Linked DNA regions of Coturnix japonica. The protein of the gene in region 1 purifies or fractionates together with the protein of each later gene. This does not show direct contact. Links are inferred from orthologs where the notes say so. Each region holds a gene or a part of one and is shown in the gene's direction. Other genes may lie near its edges. The genes, in order: ASF1A, C5H15orf41 and HAT1.

Evidence for each region.
Region 2: the proteins of ASF1A (region 1) and C5H15orf41 purify together in Homo sapiens (affinity purification with mass spectrometry; 3 studies listed by BioGRID and IntAct, counting the BioPlex papers as one, with this or other methods). This does not show direct contact. The link is inferred for Coturnix japonica from reciprocal best matches to the Homo sapiens genes ASF1A and CDIN1.
Region 3: the proteins of ASF1A (region 1) and HAT1 purify together in Homo sapiens (affinity purification with mass spectrometry; 4 studies listed by BioGRID and IntAct, counting the BioPlex papers as one, with this or other methods). This does not show direct contact. The link is inferred for Coturnix japonica from reciprocal best matches to the Homo sapiens genes ASF1A and HAT1.

The regions. Positions count from the first base shown.
Region 1 is NC_029518.1:57,107,260-57,111,008, reverse strand, and holds the start of ASF1A (histone chaperone ASF1A), read left to right. Parts: upstream 1-1,358; 5' UTR 1,359-1,744; coding exon 1,745-1,853; intron 1,854-3,749. UniProt on the Homo sapiens protein: Histone chaperone that facilitates histone deposition and histone exchange and removal during nucleosome assembly and disassembly.
Region 2 is NC_029520.1:28,375,485-28,379,133, reverse strand, and holds part of C5H15orf41 (protein C15orf41 homolog), read left to right. Parts: intron 1-633; coding exon 634-699; intron 700-1,973; coding exon 1,974-2,079; intron 2,080-3,649. UniProt on the Homo sapiens protein: Plays a role in erythroid cell differentiation.
Region 3 is NC_029522.1:16,001,892-16,005,640, reverse strand, and holds the start of HAT1 (histone acetyltransferase type B catalytic subunit), read left to right. Parts: upstream 1-1,238; 5' UTR 1,239-1,307; coding exon 1,308-1,314; intron 1,315-1,455; exon of another isoform or gene 1,456-1,687; coding exon of another isoform or gene 1,688-1,733; intron 1,734-1,795; coding exon 1,796-1,849; intron 1,850-2,168; coding exon 2,169-2,240; intron 2,241-3,749. Other genes in the region: SLC25A12 (calcium-binding mitochondrial carrier protein Aralar1), read right to left, coding at 1,061-1,156. UniProt on the Homo sapiens protein: Histone acetyltransferase that plays a role in different biological processes including cell cycle progression, glucose metabolism, histone production or DNA damage repair. Coordinates histone production and acetylation via H4 promoter binding.

The DNA.
Region 1 (3,749 bases):
TCTGCTAAGCATTCCAAATTTAGTAATTACTTATTAACAAGGGTGAGAAAATCAAATCTACTATATTAAAATGAAAACTGGTGTGACTACAAAGCCCACAAATGTATAGAATGGATGCATTCACCAACCACTAAAATAGACAAATATTGCAGAGCTGAAAAATAAAGCTTAGAAGAAAAAAAAATAATAATCCAAAATGAAATGAACCAAATAAGTTCCCAGCAGGCACTTGTGAATCTACATGTGATGCAACACTGGGAGCACGGAAGGTCAGAAATGTTTCTAAGCTGTGATAATGGCTGCTCACTATCAAGTATGTGCAGCTCTTTCCCATTTCCTCGTCCCTACTCCCCAGCCTTTTCTCTATCTTTAGCCCTTCTTTTTCACTCCAAAGCGCTCTGCTCAAAATATCCTGGTAGATGACAAGCTGCTGCCAGCCTGAAACCTCCTGGAATGTTACAACGAAACTTGCCCAAGGATCTTCCCATGGCACATCTCTGTGCAGATCAGTCAGAAATTATTGGCAATTTATGTTTCTTGATAGTAATAGTAGCTTGTTGTGAGGAGTCTCTTCTACTGTGCCCAATCTGGCCTTTCATCTGACACGAGGAATGCTAAAAATGTACACTGAGCAACAGATGAGGCAACTATCAGACACTTCTTTGTCAACACAGAAGCATAATCACCTTTCCAAACCTGGCAGTGGCTTGGAGGACGGCTAAGGGCCTCACTGTAGACATGGCAGCACTCTGCTGCTTGCCTGCATGGCTCAGGCAAGATGTCTGCTCCGTACCTTCCTGCCGCACATTAAGTGTTCCCCGCAGGCACGATTACTGCATGACCACGTATTTATTTCCTCCGGGAATCGCCTCTCACGCTGACGAGAAACACCTCACACCCCCAGCCCGGGGCACGGCTCTCCCCAGCCCAGCGGCGGGCGGTGACATGACATATCCCCGCTGCCATTCCCGCACACGGCAGCCTAAAATGGCCTCCTCCAAGGGCCGCTTGTGTTCGGGGCGTGCGGCGCTGCCGGAGGCTTCACTACAGCACAGCCACGGGTTGACAGCTTTCTGGAGGCCGCTCACACAGCGGACCAGGGCTCGGTCGGGCAGTCCCCAGTCAGCACGTAACACCTGACACCTCCGGGTTCGCGAAAAGAATTAAAAAGAATGAAAACACGCCTTCCTCGGGCACTAACAACCGGCAAAACCCACAGCACATGGCGGAAACCCACGCGCGAGCAGGGGCGCGGCCTACGGCTCCCGGGGCCGCCCCTCGGCTCCGCGCTCGGCCCCGCCCGCTCGGCCCGGCCCCTCCCCGCTCTGCGCGGCCGTTGGCCGGCGGCTGCCGGGCGGTTTGGCGGCGGTGTCGGGCGCCGGCCGGGCGGGGGCGCCGAGCGGCGCGGAGGGGCCGGGCGGGCGGCGGCGGTGCCTGTCTTGCCGCCGCTCGGCGGTCGGCTCGGCTCGGGGAGGAGGGCCCTAGCCCAGCGCGCGGCCAATCCGGACGGGCGCTGGCGGAGAGCAGGGCAGAATGGGCCGTAGTTGAGTGAAATAGGAAAGCTGCGAACAGAGTGGAGTGCTCCCGGTGTAAATAAAAGGGGGGAAGAAAAGTTTCCCCAAGTCGCGGCTCCGCAGCCTCGCTCCGACGGGGGGCAGGGGGCTTCGTGCGAGGCGGAGATCACCGCTCGGGACTTTGCCGTGCGGCGTTCACCCGCTCCTCCTATTGTGATTTTTTTCAAAATATGGCAAAGGTTCAGGTGAACAATGTAGTGGTGTTGGACAACCCTTCTCCTTTCTACAACCCTTTCCAGTTCGAAATCACATTTGAGTGCATAGAGGACCTGTCGGAAGGTGAGTACCGCTCTCCGGACGCGGGTTCGGCGGTGCCCGGGCTGTCGGATGCGGGGCCGGGCGGGCTCCCTTCGGGCCGGGCCTGCTCCCGCCGCCGCACGGTTCTCCTCCCCGCAGAGCCGTGCGGCCACGCGGGGGATGCGGAGCTACGGCGGGGCCGCCCGGCCCCGGCCCGGGCAGGGAAAGTTAGCGGCGGAGCCCTCGCTCCGGGGCCGCCGCTCCGCTTCGCTCCCCGCCGCGCCGTCGCCGAGGCCGCCTTCAAGTTGCGAGGAACTTGTTAGAGTGGTGGTAGCCATGTTGCCAGCTTTGTGTGTGCGTGGGGGGGCAGAGCGGGAGCGGGCGGGCGGGCAGGGCGCCGCGCGGCCCCGCGACGCGGGAGCGGAACTGTTGCGCGGCCGTAGCGCTGCCAACGGGAGGTACCCGCAGCGCGGGCAGCGTTTGGAGCGTGCGGTGCGGGGCCTCACGGTCCATTTTAATACTTAAAAGGAGGGAAGGAAAAAAAAAAAAAAAGAAAAGGAAAAAAACAGAGCTGGAGGCCGGGCGGACGAGCGGGCGGCTCTCGGTGGGCGCAGTGCTCGGAGCCCGGTGGGTGGCGGTCCGGAGGCGCGGAGCCGTGCCGGGAGGAGGGGGAGGCGGTAGCCACTATTTTTGGAAGTCACTCGAAAGTTACCGGCTGCCGCCGGGGGAGGCGGCTCGGCGCCGCCCTGCACGCCGCCCCGCGGGGACCCCGGGACGGGAGACGCGGCTGAGGGACCCTTCTCGGCCGGGCTCGAGTCCTCCCGTCCGCACGGCGGGCCGCGAGCAGCCCCCGGCCCGCTGTGGGCCGGCTCGCTCGGCACGATGTGTCCGTGCCGCCGGCAGGCCGCGCCGCGCCTCTCCGCGGGAGGCGCCCCGAGAGTCCGCGCGGGAACAACCGGGCGGGAGATTCGAACGCGGCGGCGCACGGCGAAGGAAGCGGCGGGATGAGCGGCACCGAGAGACAGGAAAAGGCCGCTCCGATGGAGCAGCCACAGGACAGGTGCCGCTATGGGGCACAGTGCCGCCTGCTCGCCGGGGAACCAGGGCAGACAGCGGGAGGCAGGGAAAGAAACTCGTGGCAGTAGAGAATGGGGACGTTTCTATTGCTGCTGTGGTTCAGTTTGCCTCCCTCAACACTCGGCGCGGGTTTCTGTCCCTGTGTGGCGGGTTGGCGGTGCTGTCAGGAACTTTGTCAAAGTCCTGTCTGCGTTTGAGGTTCCCCCCACGCCTCTGCCCCCTTCCTAAAACTGATCAGCGTCTCAGTTTGAGCAGCCCGCGCCATTAAGCTCCGTGCACATCCCGATGCTGATGGCTGCTCCTCCCTGACTCAGGCAGTCAGGGCTCACTCAGGACAGCAGCACCTGAATCCTCACACAGCAGTGCCTGCAGCAGCACAGGCACTAGGCATCACCTTGCCTTTCCTTTGGTTTGTGACCACTCCTAACTGTGTGTTTAACAGTGCGATTAATCTGGACAGTCAGGATGAGAACTGGAGGTGGCCCAGTTCAAAATTCTCAGTTCCCTTCCCCCATCTGACAAAGGTTAGGCTACAGGATATGTTTAGGGTAAGCATTGCTATCTTTCACGTTTAAAAATGAGGTTAAACAGCTTCTTGAAGAGAATGAATTGCTGTCATTTCCTTAGCGTTTGTGTGCTAATGTCTGCTCTGCTGTTTACAGCCAGTCCTGTGCACCACTGGTCTTAAAAGTAAATTAATTGAGTTCACTTCCCCCGTCTTTAAATTATTCCAAGTCATCATGTATCAGCAGTATCAGATCAACCTTTTAAAGGTATAAGTTATCTTCAAAGGCTTGTTTTTCAGTACCAAGTATTACTGCTTTAGAATGAGTTTGTTTTCCTGGAATAACTGCAAGTGAT
Region 2 (3,649 bases), on another chromosome or scaffold:
TTTCATTCAGAAGCAGTAGAGTTGCATAGCTTGTGTTAAGAAAATATCTAATTTTTTCATGTTTAATTAATTTTACTTAATTTTTTATTAATTAATTAATTAATTATAATTAATTTATTTTAGAATCATGGCATACTTCTTTAATGGATTTCTAGAAGAGAAGAACTGTCTTGTTTGTGGGTTTTTTTTTTCTTTTTTTGATTGTTTTTTTTAAACACCTTAGTGTTAACATTAAAATAAAGCCATGAAGGCAACTGCAATATATCTACATTTGTGGTGTTGGTAGGATTAATCTCAACAGCTCCCTAATGTGAGGAAACTCTTCTTTCAATCAGTGAATATATCTCTTTATTTTGAATATTTGGAGGTTATAAAATACTGTATGACAGCTTGAATTAATGATGTTTATAATGAAGACATAAAAATGCAGGGATGACAAAGAAGCATTTTTATATCCATGCTTCAGGTTTTCTACAAAGGTTCATTTAATCTGACACATCATTGCATGCATAAGAAAGATATGTATGACTGCATTAATAATTCTTACACTCTTATTTAAAATAAAATTAATTATACTGCTGTCTACTTAATAGAAGAGTTTTATAAACAATAGGCCTTGTTCTCTCTGTGTAGCCGAAGATCAGCTTCGTGCAAAGGGTTATGACAAAACACCAGACTTTATTTTAGAAGTGCCAGTAGGTAAGTCTTTGAAAAGAATTGTTATTATTTTATTTTGTATAGAACTGTTTATCTTAAAGTAATACAACTTCTTAAGACATAAGAATATGAAGTATGTTACAGGATACTAAATATTTCTCAGGGTTTTTTTGTGTTTACTCAGTAATTTTAAGATCATCTACTTTGGGTCAGAATAGTATTACCCAAAATACAAGTAGACTTCTCCTTTATCTGTTTACAACTAAACTAGGCAGGTGTTTGCAGGTATTAGTGAAAATAAAAAGGCTTAAAGCCCTATATGAAAGCCATATTCATGACTGCTTTTTTTGTTCTTCATATTAACAAGAGAAGGAATTCTTACAGATAACCAATTCATTCATGGTAGAAGGAATTGAGTGCATACTATTAAAAATTTTTATCCACAGCAGTTCTTCAGATGTAATCATTCAGCATGGTAGTCTTTCTTATCCAGTAGATAAGTATATGTGTAGATATGAGAGCTTTCTAAAAAGTTTTTAAAGGCTTCCTTAACTCAGTACTGCTATTCCACATTGTCCTTCTAGAGAACGGATGATCCTTTTGAGTGGTTTTCACAATTTCTTCTGCAAAATTAGTTTATCAGTTTCAGACAGGGCTTTCTTTCACCAATAAATAAATAAATAAATAAATAAATGTGTTTTTTTAATATTGCAAATTCTGTCCTGCGAGAAATACCGAAAGGCATCAATCAGTGAAAATCCCAGAAACAGAATTTCCATATCAGATCTTTCACATAGCCATTCTTATTCCTAAATTCTTCTTGCTGAAGCATTACTGATTTTGAAAAAGTTGGGAGGCAGTTATATATCTCTGGTAACCCTCCTTTCTGTTATCACACCTTCTACTGTGGGCTAAGAATTCTCTACCATTTGCAGCTTAACTAACTAACTGCTTGATAATCACCAGACATCTTCAATTGCTTTTCACTAAAGTAAGGCTGAAAGTAGGACACAGTTGCTCCATAGTCTGATCTCTTTTTCTGGTCTCTTTCTTTACATTGTTTGTGTTTAAGAAGAAAGGCAAATATCTAGAATGAGATGATATTTAATTGAGATAATTATCCATTAAAATAATATGTGTTATTTTTTAAAAAAACATTATCAGTATACATATTTGAAAAATGTATTTACACATATGTAAATATGTATAAACATGAATTATGTGGTAGATTGGGGGTTAAACAGGGTATTCCCAAACACATTCTTAAGACTGTTCAGTCTGATTTTTGCAGTTCACTTTTTTTGCTGTCACCCTAGCTGTTGAAGGACACATAATTCACTGGATTGAAAGCAAAGCCTCATTTGGTGATGAAAGTAGCCACCAGGCCTACTTGCAGGACCAGTTTTGGAGTTATTGGAATAGGTATGTTTCTGTTATTAGGTTTTTTTTTATTTTTTTAAGATACTGGGCTTTTGTATTAAACCGTGTGAATAAAATACATTTTACTAATCTGACATCTTGAATTTTATGAATTAGTATGTCAAATTTCAATGCTGAAGTATTTGTGGAAAAATAATATTTTCAGTGCTAACATGCAACAGATATGTATGGTGTTTTTAAAGTGATGCTAGTTAACAAAATAAAGTGCTTTGGTACAGAAGTTTTATTTCAGTTTTTTTTTAGAACTTGACTAAGGGAAGATTCTTTAATACTTGCAAGATGCCAAACTTAGTTTAAAATCCTCACTGTCTAACAAGTAGGCCTTGTATGAGAAAAATATTGCCTACTATGTGTGCCAAACACAATTCTGATTCATTTTTGTTTGATAAAATGTTCTTTTCATATGCTATCTAAATCTTACATAATAATATTATATTCTTTTCAAGCTAATAAATGTTAAGTGTTTGCAGGAATATGAGAAGTCACACTGGACAGAATTTTTGAATGTTGATTTTATTTTCATAAAGATCCTTTCTTTTAAAGACTGTTACATTAGCTCAGTAATACAAAAGGAAGATTGTTATTGTGTATAGTTGTATATCTTTTCAAGGTAATAGCAGTCTTCTCACTAGAAGATTTTTCATCCCAAACTAATAATGATAAGATACTCATCTTTAAGTGGTGGAACACTTAGGAAGTCAGTGAGAGATGTAAATGATAGTTTTAATAAAGGATTTGTAAAAGTATAGATCTTCTCAGTGTTCAGACAGTCTCTGAGAAATCTAACAGAGGGTAGAGAAAACGGTACAAAAATGGTTGAACATGTAACTAACAGCATATGCCGCTATCAGTGGCTAGTTTGTGGTGTCCATCATTTTTTGTCTTGAGTATAAAAAATGCTAAGGTGAAAATTGCTAGCCTTAGCTTGGGAAAAGGTATAATTGTATGCTCTCTTTTTGTTTGTTATTTGGGTTGTTTGTTTTTTGTTGCTATTGTTTTGTAAATACAAATCCTGTTGGTACTGCTTGATCAAACTAATGCTATCACAATGTCTTCTGAATTGAGTTGTGAATTACTGAAGCTTTTTCTAATATAATGGCAGTTGGCTTGATCATGGAATCATAGAATCCTTATAGTTGAAAAGGAACTCTGAGGGCCATCTAGCCTGAATCCCCGACAATGAACTGGGACACCACAGCAGATCAGGTTGCCCAGGGCCTTATCCAGCCTCACCTTGAAAGCCTCCAGGGACAGGGCATCCACCACACCACTAAGCAACCTGTTCCAGTGCCTCATCATTCTCATTGTAAATATTTTTTCCTTAAATCCAACCTAAACCTCTTCGAGCTTCAAGCAATTTTCCCTTGTTCTCTCACCTTCTTTCCTGTAGCTCCCCCTTAGATACTGAAAGGTTAATGAACACTTGATGACAGATTAGTTTGCATGTAAGTTAGTCAACTTCTGTTGCTCTCTGAGACTGTTTAAATGGAAAGGCACAGGCATAACTCGACAAACTGTGAATCAGTTTTGAATGATTTAATGGATCAGTCTA
Region 3 (3,749 bases), on another chromosome or scaffold:
GGCGGTATCGGCTGCCTTATCTAACCGATAAGACTCAAACACGACATCCCGTGTCACCCGCTGACAGCCGGCCCAGCGCGCGGGTCCCGCACCGCGCCCGTCCCTGGGGATGCGGAGCGCCGGGCCGCGACCGTTCCCTCCCTCACGCGCCGAGTAACGGCCTCGGCCCGCGCCGCTGCTCCTCGGCGGACGGAGGCAGGACCGACCGCGCTGCCCCTTCCCCGCAGCCGCCCCCCCCCCGCCTCCGGCTTCGTCCCGCGTCCCTCGGGGCCCCGCGGGCAGGCACGGCGGCCGCCCGACGACGGAGGAGTCACCTTGACCGCCATGCTGCGCCGGCGAGCGGGAGGAGGAGCCGCGCGCCTCTACCCACCCGCCGCGCCGCCGCAGCGCCGCCGCCTCAGCGCCGCGCCGTGGGAGGCAGCGCCCGGCCCCGCCCTGCCCCGCCCGGCGGGCTGCCCTCGGTATCCGCCGTACCGTGTCGGCGGCCCCGCGCCTCCAAATCCCGCAGCGCGGCGACCGGTGCCGGCCGGGTCGGGTCGGGCTGCAGCGGACGCTCAGCCGGCTCCGTGTGACAGCGTCGGGGGCCGCCGCATCGGGGCGAGAGGCGCTCGTGCACGGCTCGTGCCGCTGAGCGGGGCAATGCCCTGGGGATGTGGCGGCCCAGCACAACGGGACAGCGCTGCAGCCTCAGCCCGCAGCACGGCAGGGACACGGCAGGGAGCGGCCAGGCACGCGGCAGGGACACGGCAGGGACACGGCAGGGAGCGGCCGTACGGCGCCTGGCGGCGGTGAGGGTCGGAGCGGCCGGTGTGACCGTAAGGCAGAGCGGGACCCGCCGGGCGCGGGGCAGCGCAGACCGGCACAGCAGCTCGGCGTCCGAGCTCGCAGAAGGGATTTGGAAGGAACCTGCCTGCTCTGCCAGCGCCGCTGCTGCGCTCCGCAGGGCCGGACCCTGAGGCGAAGCCACTAACGCTTTAACGAGAGCGAATCGGCCCCGGGTCCCTCATCCCGTCCCGGCACTGAGGCAGGTGTGAGGCTGAAGTAACGACACATCAGTAACCCCGCTGCAGGCTGCCCCTGGGGCGGGGCTGTGCCAATGAGCCGCTGAGCCAACGCGCGGCTCCTTAAAGGCTCCCGCCGGCACGCGGCTGCGCATGCGCACACGGGGTCCAGCCTCAGCTGGCGGTTCCCGGCCGCTTTTGGGCGGGCGGAAGCGGAAGTGTGTGCGCGTCTTCTCACTTCCGCCGAGTGGGCGCGCGGCTTGATTCGTTGTGCCCGGGTGACTCGGCCGCCGCCGCCGCTGGGAAATGGCGGGTGAGTCGTAGGCCGGGGCCGGCCGGTCGGCGGCCTGATTGCAGCCTGACTGCAGCCGCCGGGGTGTGGGAGCCGTCGTCCATCTTCTATTAAGGGGAGCAGTCGCCCTGGGCGCGGACGGTGCTCCTCCCCGCGACCGGGCCCGAGTTTGTGCTGGGCCACGAACGGGAGCAGGGCCCTTTGCTGGCCTCGCCCCCCGCAGCACAGCAGGAGCTCGGGGCCATCTCGGGCCCTGCGGACCGGGCCGTGGGCTGGGCGGCCGCTGCCGTGGGTCAGCTCTGCAGCGGGGCTGTATTTACACACCGTGTGCGGCTCTGTGCCCGCCGGGTCATTGAGAACACTTCTGGAGTAACCTTATTCTGAATTGCTTGAAATGGGAGGAAGAACTTCTGCTAATGCTGCTGGAATAGGGAGACAGGGTGGGTTTAACACACTTGAAAAATGCCTTGATGAATGACACGCCTTTTGTGTGCTGGATTAGACGCTGGGAAACAGGCTACCTGTAATTTCCTGCCTCATCCACTCTGGAAAGAAGGTAATAGCTACGTAACAGCTTGGTAGCATTCCTGCCACAGTTCAAGATCTCCTGACATGCATTAACCCTTATTCAAACACATCTGCATTTATTTTGGAAAACACTTCATAGTGAGAAAACAGATTGGCTTGAAAAGTAAAGAGAATGACAAAGTAGGAGCTGCAGGGAGAGCAGTGCATTATGAAATGAAGTCAGCGTTATGATGTTGTTCCTTCTGTTCTTGAGAGCCTTTTTCTTAACATTGAATTACATTGAATCATTGAATTACGCTGACCCAGATTGTACATATCGAAACTCTTCCCAAAATCTTTTTCTTTAGGACTGACTCCTATGGAGAAGAAGCTGGCTGAATACAAATGTAACACAAATGAAGCAATACAGCTCAAACTAGGTAATGCCAATTTTTAAATATTATGTGTTTGGAATATTTTAATATCTATTTAATAAAGTCCTTGTAATTTAATCTAATTAGCTGATAATATGCATTTATAAATATACAGGCACAAGAATAGGAATTCATAGTGTAGTTTTATTGAGAATGGTACAGTACAGCTACAGAAACTCAGGCTTTTACCTGTGTAATAACATCAGCAATCTATTAACATACTGCTAAACTGCATTGGGATGATGCCACCTTGTTCTTCTTGAGTTATTAACTATATTCTCTTAGTTTCTTCTTCTCTAGAACTTTTGCTACTATGTAGTCCTAAGTATGCACCATTGTTCTTCTGAGGAAACACAATAAGTAAAGCTGGAAAGTGTTTTTTGGTTTGTTTTTTCCACCTCTCCCTCAACATGTAGACAACACAAGCTATCTTCAACAAAGTCTTTAAAATCTGTGTAGAAAAAGTACTACTCTATTTTTCAGAACTGTTTATTGCTTTATATAGCTAACTTGCTTAATACCATATATAGAATACAAGTGGAATTACTGACTTACTTATATCTGAAACTTACCTGTATTGTTAATTAATAAGACAGTAGGTAATACATCTGTGTTTTTTAATCTTTCCAAACCTTCAGCATTTTGTTTCCTTGAGCAGTACAAATAGCTTTACTTATTAAGAAAGTAAAAATAATTAACATTTTAAGCACTCTTAAGAACTACTATTAACAGTTTGTTCTGCAAAACTTAGTCGACTTTTAAATGCACGGTTGGCTTGTGAGACAAAACATCATTGTAACCTAAATACTGAAGCCTTTGAGCTGCTAACCGGTGAAGCATTTCTCTTCCATTTGAACAACAGTTCAAATACTCATTTTGTGACTATTTTTATTTAATCTATATATATAACGTTTTGGTTTTCCTCTTGTGTCTTTCTAAATCCAAAGGATGAGAAGTAATAGAATATACCTGTCAGTTTACTTTTTTCTTTGTGAGAGTGTAGATGTTCTACATACAACGTTAGAAAAAATTAAAATTTAATGCCATTAAAAACAAAAAAACACGCCTTTCCCGTGAGCATAGGGGTATAAATGTGGACATGGCTGTACTCTTCTGAGTCCTAATTCGTTCCATGGTGATGTTTCAGGATTACTCTGTTTTCCCTTTTTTTCTGGTTTGTTTTTTTGTTGTTTTTAATCTTGCTACTTTGATTCAACTGGGTCGTTCTCTGAATCAAGCTGAAGAAGACGAAAACTGCCATTGAGAGGGCTGAGTTTCATCCTGTTATTAAGAAACCCTTCGTTCACTTTTCTCTTGGAATATCTCCTATTGATGGAAAATCCTTTTTACTTCATCTCCAGTTTTACTGGAGTAAAACAGCAATGAGACTGTAGTTCCATATTCTCCTTTTTTTTTTTTTTAAATTAAAAAAGAACATTTAATAGCGCTGTTAACTCCTACAGCATTGCGTGCACTTGTAACTCATTCAAAATTAGTATGTCACTGTTTTCTTGA